Linked DNA regions of Mus musculus. The protein of the gene in region 1 purifies or fractionates together with the protein of each later gene. This does not show direct contact. Links are inferred from orthologs where the notes say so. Each region holds a gene or a part of one and is shown in the gene's direction. Other genes may lie near its edges. The genes, in order: Npm1, Gtpbp4, H1f10, Rpl5, Ddx21, Hnrnpu and Parp1.

Evidence for each region.
Region 2: the proteins of Npm1 (region 1) and Gtpbp4 purify together in Homo sapiens (affinity purification with mass spectrometry; 3 studies listed by BioGRID and IntAct, counting the BioPlex papers as one, with this or other methods). This does not show direct contact. The link is inferred for Mus musculus from reciprocal best matches to the Homo sapiens genes NPM1 and GTPBP4.
Region 3: the proteins of Npm1 (region 1) and H1f10 purify together in Homo sapiens (affinity purification with mass spectrometry; 3 studies listed by BioGRID and IntAct, with this or other methods). This does not show direct contact. The link is inferred for Mus musculus from reciprocal best matches to the Homo sapiens genes NPM1 and H1-10.
Region 4: the proteins of Npm1 (region 1) and Rpl5 purify together in Homo sapiens (affinity purification with mass spectrometry; 4 studies listed by BioGRID and IntAct, counting the BioPlex papers as one, with this or other methods). This does not show direct contact. The link is inferred for Mus musculus from reciprocal best matches to the Homo sapiens genes NPM1 and RPL5.
Region 5: the proteins of Npm1 (region 1) and Ddx21 purify together in Homo sapiens (affinity purification with mass spectrometry; 3 studies listed by BioGRID and IntAct, counting the BioPlex papers as one, with this or other methods). This does not show direct contact. The link is inferred for Mus musculus from reciprocal best matches to the Homo sapiens genes NPM1 and DDX21.
Region 6: the proteins of Npm1 (region 1) and Hnrnpu purify together in Homo sapiens (affinity purification with mass spectrometry; 3 studies listed by BioGRID and IntAct, with this or other methods). This does not show direct contact. The link is inferred for Mus musculus from reciprocal best matches to the Homo sapiens genes NPM1 and HNRNPU.
Region 7: the proteins of Npm1 (region 1) and Parp1 purify together in Homo sapiens (affinity purification with western blotting; 3 studies listed by BioGRID, with this or other methods). This does not show direct contact. The link is inferred for Mus musculus from reciprocal best matches to the Homo sapiens genes NPM1 and PARP1.

Annotation. Positions count from the first base shown.
Region 1 is NC_000077.6:33,153,207-33,156,706, reverse strand, and holds part of Npm1 (nucleophosmin), read left to right. Parts: coding exon 1-43; intron 44-602; coding exon 603-704; intron 705-1,486; coding exon of another isoform or gene 1,487-1,495; exon of another isoform or gene 1,496-2,646; coding exon 2,647-2,721; intron 2,722-3,500. UniProt on the Homo sapiens protein: Involved in diverse cellular processes such as ribosome biogenesis, centrosome duplication, protein chaperoning, histone assembly, cell proliferation, and regulation of tumor suppressors p53/TP53 and ARF.
Region 2 is NC_000079.6:8,979,013-8,982,512, reverse strand, and holds part of Gtpbp4 (nucleolar GTP-binding protein 1), read left to right. Parts: intron 1-2,533; coding exon 2,534-2,611; intron 2,612-3,032; coding exon 3,033-3,084; intron 3,085-3,500. UniProt on the Homo sapiens protein: Involved in the biogenesis of the 60S ribosomal subunit. Acts as a TP53 repressor, preventing TP53 stabilization and cell cycle arrest.
Region 3 is NC_000072.6:87,979,921-87,982,911, reverse strand, and holds H1f10 (H1 histone family, member X), read left to right. Parts: upstream 1-1,429; 5' UTR 1,430-1,555; coding exon 1,556-2,122; 3' UTR 2,123-2,491; downstream 2,492-2,991.
Region 4 is NC_000071.6:107,906,517-107,909,505, forward strand, and holds the end of Rpl5 (60S ribosomal protein L5), read left to right. Parts: intron 1-672; coding exon 673-761; intron 762-828; exon of another isoform or gene 829-960; intron 961-1,380; coding exon 1,381-1,480; 3' UTR 1,481-2,489; downstream 2,490-2,989. Other genes in the region: Dipk1a (divergent protein kinase domain 1A), read right to left, coding at 2,888-2,989.
Region 5 is NC_000076.6:62,599,499-62,603,445, reverse strand, and holds the start of Ddx21 (nucleolar RNA helicase 2), read left to right. Parts: upstream 1-1,147; 5' UTR 1,148-1,231; coding exon 1,232-1,318; intron 1,319-3,947.
Region 6 is NC_000067.6:178,335,016-178,339,218, reverse strand, and holds the start of Hnrnpu (heterogeneous nuclear ribonucleoprotein U), read left to right. Parts: upstream 1-1,403; 5' UTR 1,404-1,647; coding exon 1,648-2,266; intron 2,267-3,060; coding exon 3,061-3,172; intron 3,173-3,263; coding exon 3,264-3,337; intron 3,338-4,203. UniProt on the Homo sapiens protein: DNA- and RNA-binding protein involved in several cellular processes such as nuclear chromatin organization, telomere-length regulation, transcription, mRNA alternative splicing and stability, Xist-mediated transcriptional silencing and mitotic cell progression.
Region 7 is NC_000067.6:180,571,891-180,575,390, forward strand, and holds part of Parp1 (poly [ADP-ribose] polymerase 1), read left to right. Parts: intron 1-1,761; coding exon 1,762-1,927; intron 1,928-3,500. UniProt on the Homo sapiens protein: Poly-ADP-ribosyltransferase that mediates poly-ADP-ribosylation of proteins and plays a key role in DNA repair.

The DNA of each region.
Region 1 (3,500 bases):
CCAAAATGGAAAAGACTTAAAACCATCAACACCGAGATCAAAGGTAAGTACCCAACAACAGACCTACTAAATTCAGTGCCTAAAAAAACTTTGTGCTTTGTGGTACTTAACCTTGCCTACATAATAGACTATAGTGCACACTAAGATAGCCCAATACATAAATTTGTGAAGTGTGTCATGTTCTGTGGTGGATTCCAAGGTTGACTTATTTTGTAGACTTGTTGAATTCTGACCTGTTATAGCTTTCACGATCTGGGTGGTGTGTGTGTATTTGTAGAGGTCAGGAGTTGTCTTAAGAGGCTTGTCAGGATTGATTGACTTTATTTTGAAGCATCTCTTCCAATCTTTTACTTTAAGATTTATTTATATAAGTACACTAGCTGTTTTTCAGACAGATGGTTGTGAGCTACCATGTGGTTGCTGGGAATTGAACTCTGACCTCTAACTGCTTATGCATCTTCAGCCCTCTAGTCCTGACAGGCTTTCTAGCTAGGAACAATTAGCAACTTCTCTGTGCTCTATAAGGGATTTTAGGGAGGAGGGAAATCTTGGTAATTACTTTGTTAAGAACTGTACTAATAATCTTTGAAAACTTTTTCCAGGGTCAAGAGTCCTTCAAAAAACAGGAAAAGACTCCTAAAACACCAAAAGGACCTAGTTCTGTAGAAGACATTAAGGCAAAAATGCAAGCAAGTATAGAAAAAGTGAGTAAAATTAACCTTTGAATATTAGAAATTCTACTAATGTGGGAATTTGGGTTAAAAGTAGATTATAAGTAAGAATATTCATAAATTACTCCAATAAAATGTATAAGGGTACTTTTTTTACTGGGGTTATGCTGTAGAACAAGCAGAGGGTGTTTTGTTTTCAGTAAAATTAAAAACAGCTGGAAAAGTAAGAGTAAAGTGGTTGGCTGCCTGAGGTTATTTTATAGCTAAGAAAAAAAGAATCACCTTTAAGTATTTCACAACAATTTGAGTTATTTCTGTGCCCTCTGTTCCAAAGCTCCCTCAGTCCATGACCTGAAATTTGTGTGTGTGGCTAATAGGCTTTCATCTAGTTTGAAATAGAATTTATCTTTCTTGGCATTTGGCTGGGACTAAATACATTTATATAAACCTGGGTTGTGTAGAATGGAATAATACAAATGATTTTTTTTTTTTTTGGAGAGCTAAGTTTATCTCCATTATGATTCTAACATGTGAATTACTTGAATACATGTGGAATGTTATGCAGATTGCCCATTCTTTTTCCTATTTTTTTCCTGTCTTGTAGTTCTCACATGGCTTCAGAAGATTTTCTTCCTTTGTGCAGCCACAAATGGATTGGAATTTAGCACTTGGCAGCACATTTCATATTTCTTATTAAACTGTAAACTTAAGTTTCCTGGTGTCACTGATTTATTTTTTATCCCTTGCATACACTGCTAAAATGATGCCCCTCCCCCCCATTTTAATGTGGTCCTATCTCCTTGGTTTAATTGCAGGCGCATTGAACATTCCTGGGCACTACTGGTAAATTAAGCCCAAAGATGGGGAAAGAGGAAAAGGAGAAACAAATATAGTACCATCAACAATCCAGACATCTCAATCCCCTTTCCTGATTGGCCATCCATTCCCCCTTGCAGGCTGGAAGCAATCTTGTTTTTCCTAAAGCATTTTTCTTTTACTTTTGTGATGCAGAAAACTACTTCTCTACCACTTGTGCATATGCCTCATTTCTTTGACCATGTTTTAACCTTTGTATCCTTAGCTACTCTCAATAAATTTTTAAATGAATCAATAAGGATGTATGTGACAATATTTTCAAATTACCGTAGTGAATTATTTTCTAGGTGATGAAGGCAATTGAGTACCTTAATACTCAAGGTGATTCTGGAATTTGGAAGCCTTAGTCTTGCTAAGTGCATAGAAATGCAAAAAGGTTAAAATTTAGAGAAGTGGATTTTATATGAAATAGGGGATAATCTGTAGTGACACTTTATGCTGATAAGTTAACATTTGCATTGCAGTATCTTAATTTGTAAGAATTTTGGCAGCAAAACTTGCTGATAATTGTGGTTTAGTCTACATTCATAATTGGAAGCATGCCAAATCGATGCTACAGTTAGTAATAAGGTACCTACTTTTAAATCCCTTCAATTGCGTGCTTTCCTAGGTAATTGGAAAACACTTATGAACAGGTCGTATCTAATTTGTTTTTTGGTGATAGGTGATAACATGAATTTGTATATTAGGCACCCAAGTGGCTGTACTTGCATGCCAGTAGAGCCCTCTGTAGTTTAAATTGGCTGTTTGGAAGGAACTGGGCATTAAGCAATAAAAAACCATGGTCTTTCTGGGTTTGGGCCCAGAGTTGGTTTTTTTTTGTTGTGTTTTGTTTTTCCAAGACAGGGTTTCTCTGGCTGTCCTGGAACTCACTTTTGTAGACCAGGCTAAACTCAGAAATCCGCCTGCCTCTGCCTCCCAAATGCTGGGATTAAAGGCGTGCGCCACCATGCCTGGCTTTAATGTTGGTTTTTAATCAAATGGGAATGTTAAAGGGTTATAGTTTGTGTAATGGCATGTAAAACTTTGGAAGTTTTTTCTAATGATGTCTCAAACAATTGCTGTTTGTCCTTAATAATGCTTTTTTTCCCCTCAATAGGGCGGTTCTCTTCCCAAAGTGGAAGCCAAGTTCATTAATTATGTGAAGAATTGTTTCCGGATGACTGACCAGGAGGTAACTGAATTTTCTGTGGACGTGACCAAATCTAAAATTTTCATTGATTTATTATGACTTTTAGTCTCAAGTTGTTGGCTCCTTGTAAAAAGTTCCTAACCACAGACAGTACTTAAATACATGGAAAGAATTTAATTGGCAGACTGAGCAAATAATTTTTTAGTGCACATTTTTCCCAGGTTTTAAATAGTTGGTAAATTATCTCTTGGTTACTGAACTTAGTTTTACTCTTAGTAGTGTATTGGCTAAGGAAATAGGATATGGTTTTTATTTGCTCCATTTGGCTGCTTTACAGTCTGATGATACTTGGACTCTTGGAAGTGGTAGTATCTTCTCCAGATAGCAAAGGAGGGTAAAATTGGTAGAATCAACCTAGATGGGTTAAAGCCTCTTGCATGTCAAGTTACTGTTATGTTTATTGTGGTATTAGGATACTTGGGCCATGCAAGGGCAAAGCACTACCAGTGATCTCTTCCCAGTGGTATGAATTTACAGTGTTAAATAGTAAATATAATGGGTTAATGTTAGACCTTCTGAATGAACAGTTGATTTAATTGGTTTCATCAGTATTGGCTATAGAGGTGTCTATTCAAAAAGAATTAAAAGGAACAATATAGCAGTAGAGTATTAAATGATAGTATTGCCTATTTAAATTATAGCTCCCAGGTTTGTAGTCAAAAGTGGTTAGGATTGAGGCAGACTGTCAATGATTGGAAGTAGTGATGTCATCAAATTCAGTCCTTTCGTGTTAGCTACAGATTGACCTAAGTTTTAGAATT
Region 2 (3,500 bases), on another chromosome or scaffold:
TTAGGATGAAATGTTTTATAAATATCTGTTAGATCCATTTGGTTCATAACTTCTGCTAGTTTCACTGTGTCTCTGTTTAGTTTCTGTTTACGTGATCCTGTCCATTGCTGAGAGTGGGGTGTTAAAGTCTCCCACTATTATTGTGTGCTTTGAGCTTTAATAAAGTTTCTTTTATGAATGTGGGTGCCCTTGCATTTGGAGTATAGATGTTCAGAATTGAGAGTTCATCTTGGTATATTTTTCCTTTGACCTGTATGACGTGTCCTTCCTTATCTTTTTTTGATAACTTTTGGTTGAGAGTTGACTTTATTCAAATATTAGAATGGCTACTCCAGCTTATTTCTTGGGATCATTTGCTTGGAAAATTGTTTTCCAGCCTTTTACTCTGAGGTAGTGTCTGCTTTTTCACTGAGGTGCATTTCCTGTATGCAGCAAAATGCTGGGTCCAGTTTTATGTATCCAGTCTGTTAGTCTATGTCTTTTTTTGGGGAATTGAGTCCATTGATAATTCCTGTTATTTTTGTTGTTAGAGGTAGAATTATGTTTGCGGGGCTATCTTCTTTTGAGTTTGTTGAAAGATTACTTTCTTGCTTTTTCTAGGGTATAAGTTTCCCTCCTTGTGTTGATGTTTTCCATCTATTATCTTTTGTAGGGCTGGATTTTTGGAAAGATATTGTGTAAATTTAGTTTTGTCATGGAATATCTTGGTTTCTCCATCTATGGTAATTGAGAGTTTTGCTGGCATTTGTGTTCTCTTAAGGGTCCGTATGACATCTCCCCAAGATCTTCTAGTTTTCATAGTTTCTGGTGAGAAGTCTGGTGTAATTCTGATAGGTCTGCTTTTATATGTTACTTGACCTTTTTCCCTTACTGCTTTTAAAATTCTTTGTTTAGTGCATTTGGTGTTTTGATTATTATGTGATCTGGTCCAATTTATTTGGAGTTCTGTAGGCTTCTTGTATGGTGATGGGCATCTCTTTCTTTAGGTTAGGGAAGTTTTCTTCTATAATTTTGTTGAAGATATTTATTGGCCCTTTGAGTTGGGAATCTTCACTCTCTTCCATGCCTATTTTCCTTAGGTTTGTCTTCTCATTATATCCTGGATTTTCTGGATGTTTTGGGTTAGGATCTTTTTGCATTTTGCATTTTCTTTGACTGTTGTGTCAATGTTTTCTATGGCATCTTCTGTACCTCTTTTATCTTTTGTATTCTGTTGGTGATGCTTGCGTCTATGACTCTGGATCTCTTTCCTAGGTTTTCTAACTTCAGGGTTGTCTCACTTTGTAATTTCTTTATTGTTTCTATTTCCATTTTTAGATCTTGTATGGTTTTGTTCATTTCCTCGACCTGTTTGTGTTTTCCTGTGATTCTTTAAGGGATTTTTGTGTTTCCTCTTTAAGGGCTTCTAGTTGTTTACCTGTGTTCTCCTGCATTTCTTTAAGGGAATTATTTATGTCCTTCTTAAAGTCCTCTATCAGCATCATGAGAAGTGATTTTTAGATCTGAGTCTTGCTTTTTTGGTGTGATGGTGTATCCAGGACTTAGTATAGTGGGAGAATTCTGTTCTGATGATGCCAAGTAACCTTGGTTTCTGTTGCTTATGCTCTTGTGCTTGCTTCCTGCCATCTGATTATCTCTAGTGCTACCTGCCCTCACTATATGGACTGGATGGAGCCTGTCCTTCCTGGGATTCTGGGATCCTGAAATCCTGGGTGTGTCAGAGCTCCTGGGAGTCAAACTGCCTCTGGGATCATGTGGACTTGGGCTTGTTAGAGCACCTAGGAGTGGAGCTTTTTCTGGGAGTTGTGGGACTGGCTGTGGAATTCTCGCCAAGGTCTGCTCAGGGCACCGGCCCAGACTGGAAGGAACACAACAACACATTTTCTTAAACACGGAATTCTCTCTCTAGCCCCTCCTTATTTTGTTGTTGTTCTTAAACATCTCAATAAGATACACATTTTCAGAACATTAACATCAATACTTCTTTCGTAGTTATTAGATTTTTTTTTCTACAGAGAACTGGCAACATTCATTTCTAAAATACTTTAGTGTAATTTTCCTCTGTATTTTCATGCTTTTGTTTCTGTTTGCTTTCATTTCTCTTCTGAATAGAAGTTTTGTGTGTGCTGAATTTATTTTTTCCTGAGGGAGGTGTGGTTTATTACTTGTGGGCCTCGTATCATGGGGTTGTCGTTGGTCTCAACTAGTTACTGAATTTAATGCTATTGAATTTTAGACATACCTAGGTTTATGTCTGTTTCTCATTCTACTATTTTCCTGTTTGTTTTTCTTACATGTTTTAGGATAATTTTTATTCTTTTCCAAATGAACTTTAGAATCAATTTTGGGGTTGTCTTGTCTCTTGCCCACTCTGGCTCCAAAACTCAACTCCCCAGAATACATTTTATTTCAGTTGGTTTGGGTTGTTTTATGTCTTCCTTGCAGATTGCCTTTGTTTTTTTGTGTTTGGTTCCTTTAAGTTTCTCTCATACTTGGGAATGCATTTCATATACTTTAAATGATGTCTTCTTAGGAGAGACCCCCTTTCATCCCAGAAGGAGTGATAGCTCGAAGGAAGAGAATGGAGATTGAAGAGCCCAAGAAGAAGAGGGTAGGCTACTGGACCTCTTTGTCTGGGTTTCTTATGAAAAGGGATAGAAGGCCTGCCTGTGCACGAGAAAAAGTAATGCTGGGTGGTGGGTATGTAACAGAAGACAGGGCTTTAGCCACTCGAAGTGGACTTGATTCAGGAGATGCAAACTGAGTGTACCCAGGGTTGGGGGTTGGGCTCTCCAAGATTCAGGGACACAGCAGTGAATTCTTAACATACTCTTGAATGAAGCTTTTCATTCAGTTGATGTTAGATTGCAGTAAACAAAGTCCATGAGATACATAGTCCACTAGGTAGGCAAGAACAGCCTTCCTGATAGGCATAGATGCATAAAGGGTCAGAGGCTGTTTCATCGGTAAGGAGGTTGCAAAGCATCTGGGGACATAAAAGCTAAAACAAACTTTTGGGGATTTTCTTGCAGGAGCGAGATCTTGAGCTGGAAATGGGAGATGATTACATTTTGGATCTTCAGAGTAAGTAAGGTGTTTTGTAATGTCAGTTGTATGAAAAGAGTTTCAGAAAAGAAAGGAACTCAGTGAAAGTCTCCCAGTGAGTTGATTGGTTTATAAGCTTTTGCTTTTTTTCTTTAAAGATTTATTTTTTTATTTATATGAGTACACTGTCACTCTCTCAGACACACCAGAAGAGAGCATTGGATTCCATTACAGATGGTTGTGAGCCACCATGTGGTTGCTGGGAATTGAACTCAGGACCTCTGCAAGAGCAGTCAGTGCTCTTAACTGCCAAGCCATCTCTCCAGCCCCCAAGTTTTTACTGTTTTGAAGATTAGAAGTTGCAGACTTGAGGCCCTTGCCTTGTGAAGATTATATGCCCCAGTACATGGGGAATGCCAGGGCCAGGAAGCAGTGGGTGGGTTGGGAAGTGGGGG
Region 3 (2,991 bases), on another chromosome or scaffold:
AAAGAGGGTAGTGAGTCCAGGAGAGCCTGCACCCTATAGCCCGCTGTCCCTCAAAACTCACAGGCCCCTTGGCCCTCCTCCTGAGAACGAGTCACAAGAGGATGACTTGGGCTCTGGGCTCTGCTAAACCCTGGCCACTTCCTGACGATCCTTCCTTTGATGGGGATGAGGTCGTGGGGTGCGGGGAGGCTGGCACACCCACGAGTACTGAGTTTGAAAGGCTGAGAATCTGGGCCTTCTTGATCTACAGGCAGTCACTCCCTCTTTTCACCCAAGAGGCCAGGGAACTGCTTACCTATTGGAACAAAGCTGGCCTGGACGCTTTAGTGGTGTCTACTATGTCCTCCGCAGGCTGGCCATTGCCTGCACAGCCCTCTCTCCACCGTTGGACTACTTCCCAGGCTTTCAGGTCCTTCTCTGTACCACCACCTCCTTCAAGTCCTCCCGCACCAAGTGATGCAGTATTCGATCCCCCAAAGCCGGCAGGATCCTCAAAAGCCAAATCCCCTGCCACACCCTCTAAGGGAAATGCCTTAAGGGTAACCTTACACTTTTCCATCCTGGAGCCCCCATCTAATTCTGAGGGGTCCAGGGACGGCTACTTAAGCATCACAAAATGGGGTACTTGGGGCCAGAGAGTGGTGAGGAAGTGTCTAGGGAGAGGCCCTTGTGGTCGTGCCTGCACTGACTCATCTTTGAGATGCCAGGCGTGCAACCTCAGGGCAATTCCCTTCTGTTGGTTCCCCTTAGGATTCTGAGAAGACCCCCGCCCCAGCACGCTCTCGGGCTTTGCCTTGCTCCTGTCGGCCGCGTGAGGGCGTACCCTGTGTTAGTTGGGACAAATTAATGCCCTTCCTGCGGGCAGGGCTGTGGTCCCCTGGGCCCAGAACCAACTCAGGTGCCTGAGGAGCACTCTTGTCTGCCGCCTGCAAAGTTCTCGGTCTTGGGGTCTCGCCCGGGGCCCGTGCTAATCCTTTGCAAATCGAGCGCCCCCCTCCTCCATGCTCCTATAGCCTGGGGTACACACCTCTGAGCCGCTCCGCTGAGCCCGTCCTAGGCGCAGGCCGCCTCTGCGCAGCGCAGCGGGCTCGGATGCTGTCCAGGGCACACTGCTGAGGGTGCAGCCGCGCCCGGGAGCCGCGGGCGGAGGAGCCAGTGGCCGCGGAAGGCGCTCCAAGAAGCACAAGTTGGCGCTGGACTGGGCCCAGGCTGTTGTTGTTCTCAACGTGGTCCGCCACGGGGAAATAAAAGCGGAGCGGGGCGCGCTCTCCGCCAGAGCGTAGCGCGCACGCCCAGAGCTCCGGAGCCCGCGCAGTGCTGCCGCGCTCCCCGCAGGCTCCTCTCCGCATCCCACCCCCCCAGCCCCGCCGCGGCCGGCCCGGCCCCCGCCCGCACCTCAGCCCTGCCGCCTGGTCCCAGGCCCGGCCGCGGCCGCTCCCGCCTGGAGCCGCCGCGCGCCCCCAGTCCCCCGGCGCCGCCGCGGCCCCTCGCCTTCCTCTTCCCGGCGCGGCCCCCCGGCTACCGCGCGCCGCCTGCCGCCAACCCGCTGGCCACCATGTCGGTGGAGCTTGAGGAGGCCCTGCCGCCAACGAGCGCCGACGGGACGGCCCGCAAGACGGCCAAGGCCGGCGGCTCTGCGGCGCCCACGCAGCCCAAGAGAAGGAAGAACCGCAAGAAGAACCAGCCAGGCAAGTACAGCCAGCTGGTGGTGGAGACCATCCGCAAGCTGGGGGAGCGCGGCGGCTCGTCTCTGGCGCGCATCTACGCTGAGGCCAGGAAGGTGGCATGGTTCGACCAGCAGAACGGGCGCACCTACCTCAAGTACTCTATCCGGGCGCTGGTGCAGAACGATACGCTACTGCAGGTGAAGGGCACCGGCGCCAACGGATCCTTCAAGCTGAACCGCAAGAAGCTGGAGGGCGGCGCGGAGCGGCGCGGAGCTTCGGCGGCCAGCAGCCCCGCGCCCAAGGCGCGCACGGCGGCGGCGGACAGAACGCCCGCCAGGCCGCAGCCGGAGCGGCGCGCGCACAAGAGCAAGAAGGCGGCGGCTGCTGCCAGCGCGAAGAAAGTGAAGAAGGCGGCCAAACCCAGCGTGCCCAAGGTGCCCAAGGGCCGCAAGTGACGCCCCTACGGTCTGGCGACATCGTCGAGTTTTCCATCTGTCTCTATCCCTATCCGCCCCCCCCACCCTCGGTGTACCGGTTCCGTAGGGTTCCGCCTGGCCCAGGTCCCTGATCCCTGTCCCCTCCCCCGCCCCTCCCCCAGCGATGCTGCGTTCTGTTTGCTTTAGGTTTTTGAAACGGCCCTGGCGACGCCCCCATTGGCTCTCACCCTTGGCAACGGCCGTCGCCATGGTTACCGGCCCGGCGGCGCCAATGGCCTGGTGGCGCCTGCCTACTGTGCCCGCTGATGGCCACCAGGCGCTTGGGTTGTGTGGCGCCTTGCTCCGCCCGCTGCCTTCCTGGGGCGCAATAAACGGTTCCAACCTTGACCATTGTCGTTGTCTTGTGGGCGCTGGAGGCTGCTTGGGGTTCCTGCGGGGGAGTCGAGGGTCATTAAGACCAGCTAGACAACTAGCAGGCGCTGCCAGAGGTGGGACAGATGTGCCCAGAGACAGCTGCCCAGTGGAGAACTCTTGTAAAAGTGGGTTCCCAGTCTTGGGTTGCTGCAGTGTCCAGCATATAAAAGATAAAAGATTTCTACATGTTGGAAATTAAACCTCAGGATCTAGTGCAACATAATGGACAGTTTTACCAAATGGAAGACTAGGAAGGTTCTGAACAGTATGTACACATACAAGTAGGGTGAGATGGAACCCGAGTTAGGGGAGGGTTACATGGTGCTCTTTCCCTGTATCACCTTTTTGGGTCTTGGCAGTGTCTTGAGGGTGGGAAGGGACCAGTGTTTCTTGGCAGGTGTGATCATGAAGCAGACTGAGCTGCCCAAAGTGGGCATTTCACTGCCTCTTGGATGTCTGGTACCTGGCTGAAG
Region 4 (2,989 bases), on another chromosome or scaffold:
AATTTGTTTTTGTTTTTCGAGACAGGGTTTCTCTGTGTAGCCCTGGCTATCCTGGAACTCACTCTGTAGACCAGGCTGGCCTCGAACTCAGAAATCCGCCTGCCTCTGCCTCCCTGGGATTAAAGGCGTACACCACCACATTGAATTTAATTTTTTAAAACAAACTTGAATCAAAGGTTCCAGTAATGAAATCTAATAAGATAGCTACCACGTACTAAAATTGGCAACGGTATAGTATGTCTCTGGTGCTGGCTTAAAAGGCCTGTCACATAAGAGGGAATATAAATTTGGATATTTGGGATGATAAAAAAATTGTTACCTAGTTTGGTAGGATAACCCCCTCCTCATGCCCTTGCTCTCACTTGTTAGTGTGTCTTTATCCCTGTATAGTTCACATCTTTTAGGTGTACACCTTCTTTTGAAAGAATTTAGGTGAGGCAGTAGACTACAGAGTATGGTATAGTTGTACAAAAATGGGCTTGTAGTTCTCAGGAAAGCATGCAGGTGTTCATCCTAAACAGTGAGATGTAAGGATAAGGGTGGGCTGCACTTGGGGATATAAGGAGGTAATATTGGCTTAGTTAGGATCCTTTGAGAACTGAATGCAGGTGGTACTGTACCTTTAGGGCACATGAAATGAAGGCAAATACTGTTTGCTTTGCTTTCTTCCAGATGGAGGAGATGTATAAGAAAGCTCATGCTGCTATCCGAGAGAATCCAGTCTATGAGAAGAAGCCCAAGAGAGAAGTGAAGAAGAAGAGGTGGGTGGTTTACAATTCTCTAGGAAAGAAACCCGCTGCATCTTGCTGGTCAGATTTCTGTGCACTTGAGCAAACTCGATCACTAGCTCTGCATAATGTGGCAGCAGCTGAGGGAACCAGGTTTGCTAGAGTAATTGTGGTGACAGCAATGTGCCAACCTCAGAAGCTACTGAGGTGCCCATTCTGTTACAGTACAGTCCTGCATGGTTTCTTTTTAGCTACCTATAGAGTAACCTTTCTTTGCCTGCCTGAATTCATAACATTTCTGCCTCTACCTGACAATGTGAATACTGGGCTTGTAGTGTGAGCCATCATGCTCAGCTGAGATAGACTTGAGTTTGATGGCGTAAACAATGAGAATATAGCCATTGCAGTTGAGTACCCGGATTAGAACTTAATGTGTGTACTCAGGTTTTGAGGCATGACAATTGCAACAAGTTCAAAGCCAACTAAAGGATATATAGGAAAACCTATAATATACACACATGCATACACACACACACACACACATCTTCAGATAATGAGATTTTCAATCTATCCAATTACAAAGGTTTTGTCATTTTTTTTTTCAGCTGCACTTGAGAGATATTCCTGTCTTATTCCTTACTTTGTTTTGTAGGTGGAATCGTCCCAAAATGTCTCTTGCCCAGAAGAAAGATCGGGTTGCTCAAAAGAAGGCAAGCTTCCTCAGAGCTCAGGAAAGGGCTGCTGAAAGCTAAAGCAGTTTTCTATGAAGATTTTTTCATAAAGACAATAAACATATTGATCAAGCAGCTTTTTCTGTGTTAAGCTGTTATTAATGAGACTATAGGAAATAGTGTGAAATTACAAAAGCAAAGAAGTAGATAGTTATTTAATTAATTAAATTAATTTTACCTTTTGTGTTGCACCATAACCTACCACTGGTGGGATTAAGGGCAAGTATTACCATGCCTAGCTGAGAGTCTTTCTCCAGGAAAAACCAGCTTACATGGGTTCCTGCAAATCTCATGAGTGTTTCTTGGGTTTCTAGTCTTCCTGGGAGGTGTCCTTATCTTTCAGATTTTCAGATCTGGTAATTAGCATGATCATCAGGACATTTATTACAAACAAATTGATTAGTGGGAAGAAAGTATCTCAAGGTCAATCTTGGAAGTGAACAACTGGTGCTAATCCATGGCTTTAAAGATTTGAGAACAACGGTGAAATTTGGTTTGAGGAGAAGGGGGTGTCTAGGACGTTTCATTTTTATGGTACATGCCAGACATGAATGTACATAGGAAAATAACTTGAAAGGGTCAAATATTAAACCTTGAATATCAGGTTCACTTGGGAAAGCATTAGGTGCTTATGCCTCTTAGTAAATAGCCCTTCATCCCAGAAGGAGCAAGAATTGTCTTCCTGACTTAATCCAGTCTTAGCTGAGGTGCTGTGCATCTTTATCATCTTTGCCTTGCCTCACAGTGTCAGGCTCTGTGGTACTGGGGCTACACAGGTCAGGTAAACAGTTAACTGCTTACCTACATCCCCAGCAAAGATAATGTGACGATACTAAGATGAACCTATCAGAGCTTAAAGATAATGAGTTTCAGTCACAGTGATAACTGCATGCTAACTTCAGCATGTAGAATATATGCCGAAGCTAAAAGCCATTCCACAGTTGACTCCATCTGAAGTTAAAGTGTGTAAGTACACAGTAAATCATGCTATATTAACTGAACTTTTTAATAAATGAGTCATTTGAATTTACCTGTGTGGCATTCTTAATTTGTGTTAATGTGCAAAGTTTTACCATGCTAAAACATTAGTAAATTCATGTATAAATTTCCTTGTTTAAACAGCAGCTTCAATGCAAACAATGTCCGGCAATGGGACTGGCTAACATCTACAGAACACTCACTGTTTATGGAATGAGGATTTTCACAGCATTAATTTTTTTTTTTTAAAGTCAAGATAGTTAACAGTGAATATACTTGTGGACTTGTAAAAGGGCAGGGATGAGTTTTGGACATCTTGGCCCTACACCTGCCATTATTGTTACAACATGCATTTAAGATGATGACTCCACAGGCCTGGGGGGCAGAAGCCACTCTTTAAATGCTCAAAATCATAAGTAGATTCTCAATGATGGCAGTAGTCCAAATGAACTAAGAGTCATTTGTGTAGGAAATTTTCTTCCACAATAACGTTTTTAGGTTATTTAATATCAAAGAATGTTCCATTTCCATTTGATTTGCTGTGACTTTGAG
Region 5 (3,947 bases), on another chromosome or scaffold:
ATGCCTCTTACGTTGTGGTGATCCCCAACCATAAAATGAATTAATTTTAGTTGTTGAGGATTTAGCTCAGCTGTAGAGCGTTTGCCTAGCAAGCGCAAGGCTCTGGGTTCAGTCCTCAGCTCTGAAAAAAAAAATTGCTACTTCAAAACTGTAATTTTGCTATTGAATCTTAATGTAAATATTTGATATATGACCACTGGTAAAAGGGTCGTTGAACCCCAACGGAGTGTCGACCCCCTTGAGAAACTTTGGTCTGTAGTGCTTGAGGACAAGCAGGGCTTGGATGTTATTAGAATCCTGTCTGTCCACTCTGGAAGCAGAGGCAGGCGGATTTCTGAGTTCGAGGCCAGCCTGATCTACAAAGTGAGTTCCAGGATAGCCAGGGCTACACAGAGAAACCCTGTCTCGAAAAACAAAACACAAAAAAACGAACCCTGTCCGTCATACAAGAATACCCGGAAGTTTATAAAGTGCACACATGAATAAAGGGCCAGACTTGTGAATTGTGGGTATTTTTTGTTGTTACTTGGGGTCGGGGAGAGAGCTGTTGAGACAATCTCATCATGTGTCGGGCTAGCCTTGAACTATGTGCACCACGCTGGACTCGATAGAGATCCATCTACCTCTGGCTCCTGGGTGCTGAGATTAGCGGCGTGCACCCCATATGCCCTGCCTATTCTGGTTCTTTTAAATTGTTCATATTGTGCAGCACGCATATGCGTGTCCTGGGTGCCACTGAGCGCGTGCACGATAAAACTGCACAGCTGGTTCTGTTTTCCAGGGATCACAAATTCAGGTCACCAGAACTGTGGTATCTCGCCGGTCCCTGAATTCCGGTGCTCACCAAAGCACCTGGGTTTATCTGTCACCACCCAGCCGTTTTCCACAGGTAGCGTACACATCGCAGCTTTTCATGGGAAAATGTTGCCAGCTGGTAATCCCAGACTCGGCAAGCGGAGGCAGCAGGGTAAGATTCAAGGCCGTTCTCCAAGTCTAGCCGTGGCGATCCCGCTGTCGTTAGACCGCGCAGAGCACCTCCACGCCGCACACACGGGTCTCACCCAAAGCCGCGCGAACCGCAGCCTTGCCGGTACACGCTACTTCCGCCGGATGCACTCCGCTGCGGAAGTGACGAATAGGCCCGGCTGAGGGGCGGTCCGCTTTCTCTGTCGCCCTCTCTCCTAGCACGCGGTTGAGGAAGCCGGTAGGCCTGAGAAGCTGCTGCTGAATAATGCCGGGAAAACTCCGCAGTGGGGCCAAGTTGGGCTCAGACGGGGCCGAGGAGAGCATGGAGACGCTGCCGAAGCCAAGCGAGAAGGTGAGCCTGGGGGGAGGGGGGTGTCCCCGAACTGGGCCGGGCCGGGAGCTCGTGGCCGGCCCTCTGACACGCCGTGTCGGCTGGTCAGGCTTGGGAGTGCGGAAGGGATTGCCGATCGCGTCACAGTGCGGACCAGAGCCGAAGACGGCAAAGTCTGAAACTTGCGCACATGGTCGGCATCTGCTGTGACACACAGACACAGTTCCCTCTTTAAAAAAGAAAAGAAAAGAAAAAAAAAAGAAAACCCAAAACAGAAAACGTGGTTGGCTAAGTGATCACCCTATTATATAGAAGGATCTGTGTGAGCACTGTTAAATCGCCTTGTCTCTTCTTAATTCCTTGCATAAAAATATTAAACTTGTGACAGTATCTATCAAAGTAGGAGGGTTCGGAAATTATCCCGGAACTCCTATGTTGTACGACTTAATTGAGTTTTTTTTTTGCTGTCTCTGTTGACTTTGAAGGTAGGAGCCTTTTAAAGGAGCAGCAGTAGTATTTGAATTAGGTGGAAATCACTGGGCGCACAGCGTTCACATCCGCGTGTTCAGCTGCCTGATGCTGAAGTCAGGAGGGAGGGACCTAGCTACGCGTTTATATTCCGAACTCGACTTACTGTTTTTCATATATGTAGTAGATAACATGTTCATGGGGCGGAGAGATTGTCCACGATACAGTATTTTTAAGATGGTTTTTGTGGTACCAGGACCAAACCTTGGGCAGCTCACGTGTTGGCAGGTGCTGTCCCACTGTAGCTCTAGCCCTTAGCCCAGCGGTTCTCAGCCTGACAGATAATCTGCAGATGTTTATATTATGATTCATAACGGTAGCAAAAATTAAAGTAACAACGGGATAATTTTCTGGTTGGGGGTCACTACAATATGAACTATTTGAAAAGTTGAGAATCGCTACCTTAGGCCATGATTTGAGAATTTAGTCCATTATGATTTAGTCTTTACTGCCTGGAACACTACTAGAGTCTATCTAGTAGGTGGCTAATAATCGGTACAAATTTTCCATATGAAAAGTTGCACATTTAAATAAAGTCCAAATAAAGTTTCACAGACGCAAATGATATATGAATTTTTTTGGTAGTTTTGTTTCATATAGTGTCTACGAGAATCCACATTGAAGTACACATTTCTTGAGTGTTTTACCATATAGAAATTTTGGAGGGAAAAGAAACCTGTTGTTGCTGTTATGAGGACACCCAAAGTTTGCTTGCTCGCTCTCTCTCTCTCTCTCTTTCTTTTCTTTCTTTCCTTCCTTCATAGTTACCTTTTGGACAGTGCTTGCTCACTGATACTGTGTGTGTGTGTATGTATGTATGTATGGATGGATGGGTATGCTTGCCCCTGGGGTTACAGAAGTTTGAGGTCAATGTTGGGTGGGTGCCTTTATCACTTATTTTCCCCACTCTCACTCACCCTACCCTCCACCCACAGACAGTTTTTCTTTTTTTTTAATCTTTTTTTTTTTTTAAAGATTTTATTTATTATTATAGTAAGTACACTGTAGCTCTCTTCAGACACACCAGAAGAGGGAGTCAGATCTTGTTACAGATGGTTGTGAGCCACCATGTGGTTGCTGGGATTTGAACTCTGGACCTTCGGGTGCAGTCGGGTGCTCTTACCCACTGAGCCATCTCACCAGCCCCCACAGACAGTTTCTCTATAGCCCTGGCTATTCTGGAACTTGCTCTGTAGACCCGGCCGGCCATGAACATAGAGATCCACCTCCCTCTAACTCCTGAGTGATGGGATTAAAGTGTGTATCGCCACTTCGCTGGCTTGTAGTGATACACACTTTTGGGGACACCTAGGCTGGCTAGCTGCCCACTCCAGCCCCACCAGCTAGGGTGACAGGCATGTGCCACCACACTCATTATTCAGTGGCTGCTAGAGTTTCCTGTCAAACCCTCATAGTGGCAGAGTAAGCATTTTCCCCCTGAACCATTTTTTCCGAGTATGTAGTTTAGAGCCTTGGTAGTCTCTTTAAAAAATTAGTCTTGCCGGGCAGTGGTGGTGCATGTCTTTAATCCCAGCACTTGGGAGGCAGAGACAGGTGGATTTCTGAGTTCAAGGCCAGCCTGGTCTACAAAGTGAGTTCCAGGACAGCCAGGTCTACACAGAGAAACCCTGTCTCCAAAAGAAAAAAAAAAGTTTATAATGATTGGCCAATATGAGCTGAAGACTTAGTTTGAAGAACTCTTTTATTTCCCCCATGTTAGTGACTATTGCAATATACTTCTTTTCATTGTAGCTAAGAAGTGGTATTAAAAAGCGTACGTACTGTGTGACCTTTTATAATTAAAATTACATTAAGCCAGGTGTAGTAACATGACTTTAACTCTAGGAAGTCAGATCTCTCATGAGTTTGATACCAGCCTGGTCCTGCAGAGTTCATTCCCAGGACAGCCAGAATCATAGTTACATCACTCCCCCCTCTCCTCCCTCCAGAATCATAGTTACATCACTCCCCCCTCTCCTCCCTCCAGAATCATAGTTACATCACTCCCCCCCCTCTCCTCCCTCCAGCCCCTTCCATGGAATTCCCACCTTGCTCATCTCAAATTCATGGTCTCCTGTTTTTTTTTTTTTTTTTTTTTTTTTTAAATTCACTTTAAAACTTT
Region 6 (4,203 bases), on another chromosome or scaffold:
GGGTTTCTTTGTGTAGCTCTGGCTGTCCTGGAACTGGCTTCATAGACAGGGTGGGGGTGGGGGTGAGGGGATGGGGGTGGGTGGGTGGGGTGCCTCTGCTTCCTGAGCGCTGGAGCCAAACTTGGGTGTCACCACTGCCTGCCTGGCTGACACTGAATTCTTGATCATCTTACCTGTATCTCCCAAGTGTTGAAATTATACACATGTACCACCAAGCATAGCTTGGGTGCAATCTACACAGGAAGGCCCCAGTGTAGAAATTAAATTCTATATAAAAGTTTCAAGAACACAACATATTTAATGCCAGAAAACAAATCATAATTTTTTTTCTTTTCTTTTTTGAGATAGGGTCTGGTATTCAACCCAGATAAGCCTGGAATTTACTAAGTAGCCCAGGCTAGCTTTTAACTCTTGATACTTCTGCCTCACTCTGCCAAGTAATAGAACTACAGGTGTTTTCTTTTTTTACTAAATCCCAGCCTTTTGTTACTACCAGTTTGTAGACAAGTCAGCAGGTATACAAACATGTTTAGAGTGGCTGAAAAAACAGGGAGAGGATCAAAGTGCATAATCTAGCTGGGTGCTGGCTGTCTTCCTCATCTGTAATTAAAGGGTCTCCAAACTGGTGGATCAGATTTGCAGGGGACAGAGGCCTATCTTTATAGTACAACGAGGGGAACTTCCATGAAAATCTAAGGCTTACTCAAAGGTCAATAGAAAATACGGTGAGTAGCAACACAAGGCCCGCTCTATATGGCTGTTAGGCATGGTGGAGTACAGCAAGCCTCTTTCCCAAACCTTGCACCACTGGTTGGGGAAGAGACAAAAGAAAGGCTCTGGCCTCGCCCTTGCGGAACTTAAAATAAGTCCGACTGGCAAGGCAGGACTTGTAAAATTTAAAAACGCAGTTAAATGGTGGAAAAACTAAACAAAACACCACCTTTGCATAACAATCGCCTATGGGTGTTCTACAGGGCAGCGGTGGAAACTTGAAGAGTTTTTTAAACCTAGAGCCGGAGGGACAAAAAAAAAAACAAAAACCAAAACAAAAAAAAAAAAACCCAAGAAACAACAACAAAAAAAACAACCCGAAAACCAAAAAACTAAACTAAGATGGAAGAAAGGAGGTTGTTCTCGAGTGGAAAATGCCAGGTGAGGACTGAAGGCGGGTGGAGGAGAGCCTCCGCCAGGACACAGAAGGCAGAGCGCCGGTGGAGCGCGGCGGCTCAAGAGCCGGAAAGGCCGGCGGCCACTGCGGCGGGTCCGTTTAACCGAAAGGTGGCTTCTAAGAGCCTCCATTTGCGCGGTCCGGCCCAGCGCGGAGGTCGCGCAGTGGGGGCGGGGCGGGGCCTGCGCGCGCAGCCGCTCTAGCGGGCCTCGCCTCGGCAGGGGGCGGGGCGCCTATATTACGTGCGCGGCGCCGCCCCTGCGAGAGGACGTTGCGTGCTCGCTCGCGCCGGGCGAGTCTCCGCGTCTTGCCTCGCGAACTCGGTGAAAGGAATTGGCGCCGTTCGACACCAGGCGGGTCCGTTCTGCAGCAGCACTCAGCCATCTCCAGCCGCAGCCGCCGCCCGGGCCGACCAGCAGCAGCCGCCGCCGCCACAGGCCGAGGGAGCCAGCAGTCAGCGGGGAACCGGGGCCCTCAACATGAGTTCTTCGCCTGTTAATGTCAAGAAGCTGAAGGTGTCGGAGCTGAAGGAGGAGCTCAAGAAGCGGCGCCTCTCCGACAAGGGCCTCAAGGCCGATCTCATGGATCGACTCCAGGCCGCGCTGGACAACGAGGCAGGAGGCCGCCCCGCCATGGAGCCCGGGAACGGCAGTCTCGACCTAGGTGGCGATGCGGCCGGGCGCTCGGGAGCGGGCCTAGAGCAGGAGGCCGCGGCTGGCGCCGAAGACGACGAGGAGGAGGAGGGCATCGCCGCTCTGGACGGCGACCAGATGGAGCTGGGCGAGGAGAACGGGGCGGCGGGGGCGGCTGACGCCGGCGCGATGGAGGAAGAGGAGGCAGCGTCGGAAGACGAGAACGGCGACGACCAGGGCTTCCAGGAGGGGGAAGACGAGCTCGGCGACGAGGAGGAGGGCGCGGGCGACGAGAACGGTCACGGGGAGCAGCAGTCCCAACCGCCGGCAGCGGCGGCGCAGCAGCAGCCTTCCCAGCAGCGTGGTGCCGGCAAGGAGGCCGCGGGCAAGAGCAGCGGCCCCACCTCGCTCTTCGCGGTGACGGTGGCGCCGCCAGGGGCGAGGCAGGGCCAACAGCAGGCGGGAGGTAAGAAGGCGGAAGGTGGCGGGTGAGTGTTGCGTGATGGGTGCGCGTGGCGGTGGGGACCGTGCCCCAGGCCTGCCGGGGCCCCTCGGGGCGAGCGCCGCGGGAGGGTGGGGGCGGGGGAGCCCCGGGAGGCTCTGCTCGCCATGCCGGCGGCGCCTCCATTATGTATGTCGGGCGCCGGGGTGGGGGGAGCGCTGCAGCTGCCGCGGTGGGGGGGCCGGCCGGGCGGGAGCGCCGGCCGCTGGGGCGCTGCGTGCGCGCGGTCCGGGCACATGTCGGCGGTGGGGGGAGGGGAGAAGCCCGAAGGTCCCGGAGCGGGCGGGCTTTGGCGGCTTAGCGCCGCGGTATTGTGCAAGGAGCGCAGGGGCTCGTGGTGACGTCACTTCCGGCGGCAGGCGCGGGGAGCGGGGCGGAAGCTCAGTACAATGCGGCGGCGGGGCACGCGGGCTCGTGTGGGGGAGGGGAGGTGGGCCCAGGCTTCCCCCCCCCTCGTTTGAGCGCGGCCGGCGCACGTGGGCCCGGGCGGTGTCCCGCTTTTTTTTTTTTTAAACTCTTTTTAAAAAATGCTTTCTGGAAGGTTGCGGTAGGCTGGCAAGTTCAGTCTTCAGACTGCGTCACTGTGTCCAGTCCAAGTCCAGACTTTTTTATTTTCATTTGTCGATTAAAAAAGTCAAAGAATCAGTCAGAAAAAAATAATCAGTAACAGCTCTTGAGGCTCGAAACACAAAAGGTGCTTAACTGCATTATTTAGTTTTCGGCCTGATGCTTTAAGGCGGTGTTCTGTGTCGTTATAGGAGACGGCAAAACAGAACAGAAAGGTGGAGATAAAAAGAGAGGCGTTAAAAGACCGCGAGAAGATCATGGCCGAGGGTATTTTGAGTACATCGAAGAAAACAAGTACAGCAGGTAGAGGCTCCTCACCCAGTTTTAACAGTCGCCCGCTCTTTTTGTATACAAGGTGGGGAAAGCTTTATCAGGAGACAATTCTGTCTTTCAGAGCCAAGTCTCCTCAGCCACCTGTTGAAGAAGAAGACGAACACTTCGATGACACAGTGGTTTGTCTTGATACTTGTAAGTGAGGCGGACTTTCCCGCTCTTTGCTAGTTTTCAAGTGCAGTGTTAACATTGGTTTTAAGTGTTAGGAAAAATGTGTTGATCTTAAAGTGGAAAAAACCAGTTAAGAAACTTATTTTAAAGCAGGAAGGTAGTAGCTTAATGCTCAGGCTACAGTAGTTTAATATTAATACCACTTCAGTTGTATTGATTTAACAAGCTCTAGTAATTGGTAATATTTACGAGTTGAAACTTCTCAGTACTTGGGGGATGTAAAACTAAATAATTTTTGCTCGGCTATCAGAAACTTGTTTTTTTAAAAACCTGCCTGTAACTTGTCCTTAGATTACATGATTTAGTTTTTTCTCGTGGAACTATGTTAAGTGAGCTATTTGGGCTAGTTGAATACTTACTGATTTTCCCATTAGCACACAAGTGTATTCCCTATTCTAAGGATTGTAATATTAACTTTCAATAACTGCTCTTTTGTTCTCAATTCCAGTTCAGTAGCTGCTGCTTTAACATAAGTTGATTTCTTCCAAAGACCTGGGGCAGCAGCAGTGGGCTATCTGAGCCACTAGCTTTCTTCAGCAGCGAATGGTATCAATGGCAGCACTGTAAATATGCTACTTAACCCAGTTGGGTTGCAATTGAATATGAGGAAGTATTGCAAACCATGAAATGGGCTTTAGCTGTCAGATTTGTATTTTTATCCTTTAAAGAAGTCAGTTTAGTATTTAATAAGAACATATCTTTTGGTGTGAGCAGAACAAAAAAAGTACAAATCAGTGCTTAGTTACAGGATTTCACTTGGTAGAAGGGGTTAAAAGCTTGGATTCTCATGTTTTCCCTGTACAAATTGTTCAGAGCCCTGAGAGTTAAGT
Region 7 (3,500 bases), on another chromosome or scaffold:
AGCTGTCTTCAGACACTCCAGAAGAGGGCGTCAGATCTCATTATAGATCTCATTACGTCAGATCTCATTACATGGTTGTGAGCCACCATGTGGTTGCTGGGATTTGAACTCAGGACCTTTGGAAGAGCAGTCAGTGCTCTTACCAGCTGAGCTGGTTTTGTATCAAGTGCACCATTAGGGAGTACTTCTTGGTGTCCCCAGTTTAGGGCACCCAGTCTGGGGGTGGTAGGTGTTTGTTCTTGTAGAGCCATAGCTATAGGCTGAGGCAGGCGGCATAAGCCATTTGCCACAGGGGTCGGGGATCTGAAGCTGCTGATCCGATGGAGTGTCTCGAGCCAGAAGCTGAGTCCGCTCAAAAACACCATTTATTATCTGGTCTAGGGGCCATCTTTGCTGCCGGTCCCCCACCTTCCTCCTCTGCCTGACTGGGGACAGATTCTGTCTCAGTAAAACTGCCCTGAGGGCAGCAGTGGGCGGGGCCTTGAGGCACCTGAGGAGGCTAGCAGGGCGTCTTCCTTTCAGGAGCCTGCCCGAGCACATAATTCCTATTGGGTCACCTAGGCAGATCTTGCCTTGCTTTTTAAAGTTTTTGAATGAGTGTCTTGCCTGCATGTTTGTCTGTGCATCTCCTACCTGGTGCCAAGAGAGGTCAGAAGATGTCAGATCCTCTGAAACTGGGGTTACAGATGGTTGTGAACGACCTTCTGGGTGCTAGGAATAGAACCCAGGTCCTGTAGTGGAACAACTTAGCCACTGAACTGTCTCCTTAGCCAACTCTGCCTTGCACTGTAATGTAACTAAAAGGAGGCTGACTCTAACCTGAAGCTTCAGGGGATCTCTTCAATACTGCTTATGTGTTTTCCCTCTCTGCCCTTTGAAGCAGCCCTAATGAGCACTCACCTCAGTGGGTCAGAAGGCAGTTCGTGTCAAGTAGCTCTTCTGAAGTTGGGGTGGGGGAGAACTCAGTATCAGATTCTTGTCCCATTCGCCTCACTGTGTCTCCATTGTTGCCACCATCTGTGAGCTGCTGCTGCTGTTGCTGCGGTGTTCCCAGAGGAAACTGGGTTAATGTCGTTGTCTCCCTCATCTCAGGCTGTCACCATCTCTAAAACAGGCAACCCTGGGTGTAGAGCCTCATAGGCGAAAAAAGTGGCCCAGTGCCTTTACCTCAGGCACATTGGGGGATCAGGTGCCTCCCTGAGGCCAGTATTCAGCCTATCTCCAGGCCTGGAAGCCTCTGCCTCAGGCTCCTTGTTCCCCTTGCAGAAGCCGTTCCTTCTATGCACCTGTGCATGTATGCCTTGCTGTGTCTGACACTCTGCTGACACATTTTCTCTGCCTGGTTCATTATCTAGGTCCCGTTCCTTATTATTTTTAACCACAGAGGTACTTAAGAGCCATTTCTGGGCCATCCAGACCCTTGAGTTCAAGTGCTGCTTCCTGGCTCTTCTAACAGGTCTACGGGACACTTTAGGAATTCTGTGTGTCACACCAGGCTGTGCAGTAAAGTCAGAATGTGGCACACACAAGGAACCGGGGTTACCCTGTCATCCTGAGATGGATTTGGGGGTGGCCAGCCATAAGTTTTAGCTTTTAGGAAAATACCCAGGATGAGAAGCCAGAAGCTGTTTCTCATCCATTTGCCAGTCACCATGTGACCTGAGAGAGCATCAGGCAGCCTCTGTTGCTGCCTGGGCTGGGGGCAGGATTGTGGCCTGCATGGAGACTAACGACCCCTCACCTCTGCTTTATGTTCCTTAGTCACCCATGTTCGATGGGAAAGTCCCACACTGGTACCACTTCTCCTGCTTCTGGAAGGTGGGCCACTCCATCCGGCAGCCTGATGTTGAGGTGGATGGCTTCTCTGAGCTGCGCTGGGATGATCAGCAGAAGGTCAAGAAGACGGCCGAGGCTGGAGGCGTGGCAGGTGTGTGGCCAGGGGTTCAAGCGCTCTCTCTCTATCTGCTGAGTTGCTTCTGTGGCTCCTCCTCGGGCCGTGTTGACTCTTGTGTGAGGTTTGGTGTCTTATCTTCCAGATGATGGAAAGGAAGACTTTAAGCTTGCATGGATTTTTTTTTTTAATAGGTTTTAATTTTTTATTTTATTAGTTGTGGGTGTATGTGTGTGTATGTTAGTGCATGCACACGTGTGTGGTACAATATGCATGTGGAGGTTAAAGACAGCTTTACTGGGTTGGCTCTCTCCCACGGGCTCCAGGAATTGAACTCAGATCGCCAGGTTTGCATAGCACGTGCTTTAGGAAAACTGAGAGAAACACGAGAGCAAAGCGCTCCCATAGCCACCCCACCCCCACCAGTGCGTCTGATAGAACCTAGTGGGGAAACCCCCACTCAATTCCCGATTCGGTATGCACCCAAGAATCACGAACGGACGACCATCTTGATGTAAATACATGAGGACGTTTAATTACAGAGCTCCGGACCGACATGTATCCCACACAGGAGATAACGGATGTAAAGCTAGGGGTTTTTATGGGGTGAGGGGCTTAGGGGTGTGGAATTCAGCATAGCGACACACTATTGGCTTATTCTAACATTAACAGAAAGATTACATGTCAGCAAAAGGGCATCAGAACTTTGTTCCTGTGGGCTGGGGGCTTATCTTGTTCACATAGCAACCAGTTGATGTATGACTTGGCGTCGAGGGGCAGTAGACAGAGGGGAGGTTCCGGCCAGGTGGTGTTGACCCAGACAAGATAGCCCTGTTTGTCCTGCTTTGTTCTCGGCCTCAGACCGAGGGCTCATAGACAACTCTTTCACATGAATCACAAGTTACAAAATCTCATTTTCTTTCACATTGATGTCCTTTGCTGATGGTGTGTGTTCTGTGGGCTTGGATGGATGGATGGATGGATGGGTGGGTGGATGGATGGATGGATGGGTGGGTGGGTGGACGGACGGATGGATGGATGGATGGACGGACGGACAGACAGACGGATGGGTGGGTGGGTGGGTGGGTGGGGGGGTGGATGGGTAGGTGATGTACCTACCACTGATGACTTCCAGGTCCTGTACACGGATGGTACCCAGGAGGAAACCTCTGCCAATTCCTTCCTCCTTCTTGTTTGGTTTTTTGGTTTTTCGAGACAAGGTTTCTCTGTGTAGCCCTGGCTGTCCTGGAACTCACTTTGTAGACCAGGCTGGCCTCGAACTCAGAAATCCGCCTGCCTCTGCCTCCAAAGTGCTGGGATTAAAGGCGTGCACCACCATGCCCAGCTCCTTCCTTCCTTCTTAAAAACAAACAAAAAACAGACCTTCGGCAGGCAGATCTCTGTGAGTTCAAGGACAGCCAGTGATATATAGGGAGACCACATCCCCAAACAAATAAATACAGACTGCAGAGCCAGCATTCCTCCTGAGTGCTGAAATTGCAGGTGTGCGCCTTCAACCCCTGGCTTCTGTTCTGACTTCTAACTTCGTGGGTTAGAGTTGCCTGGGTTTTGTTTCAGGGAGAAAAGGAAATCTATGCGCTTTCTTCTC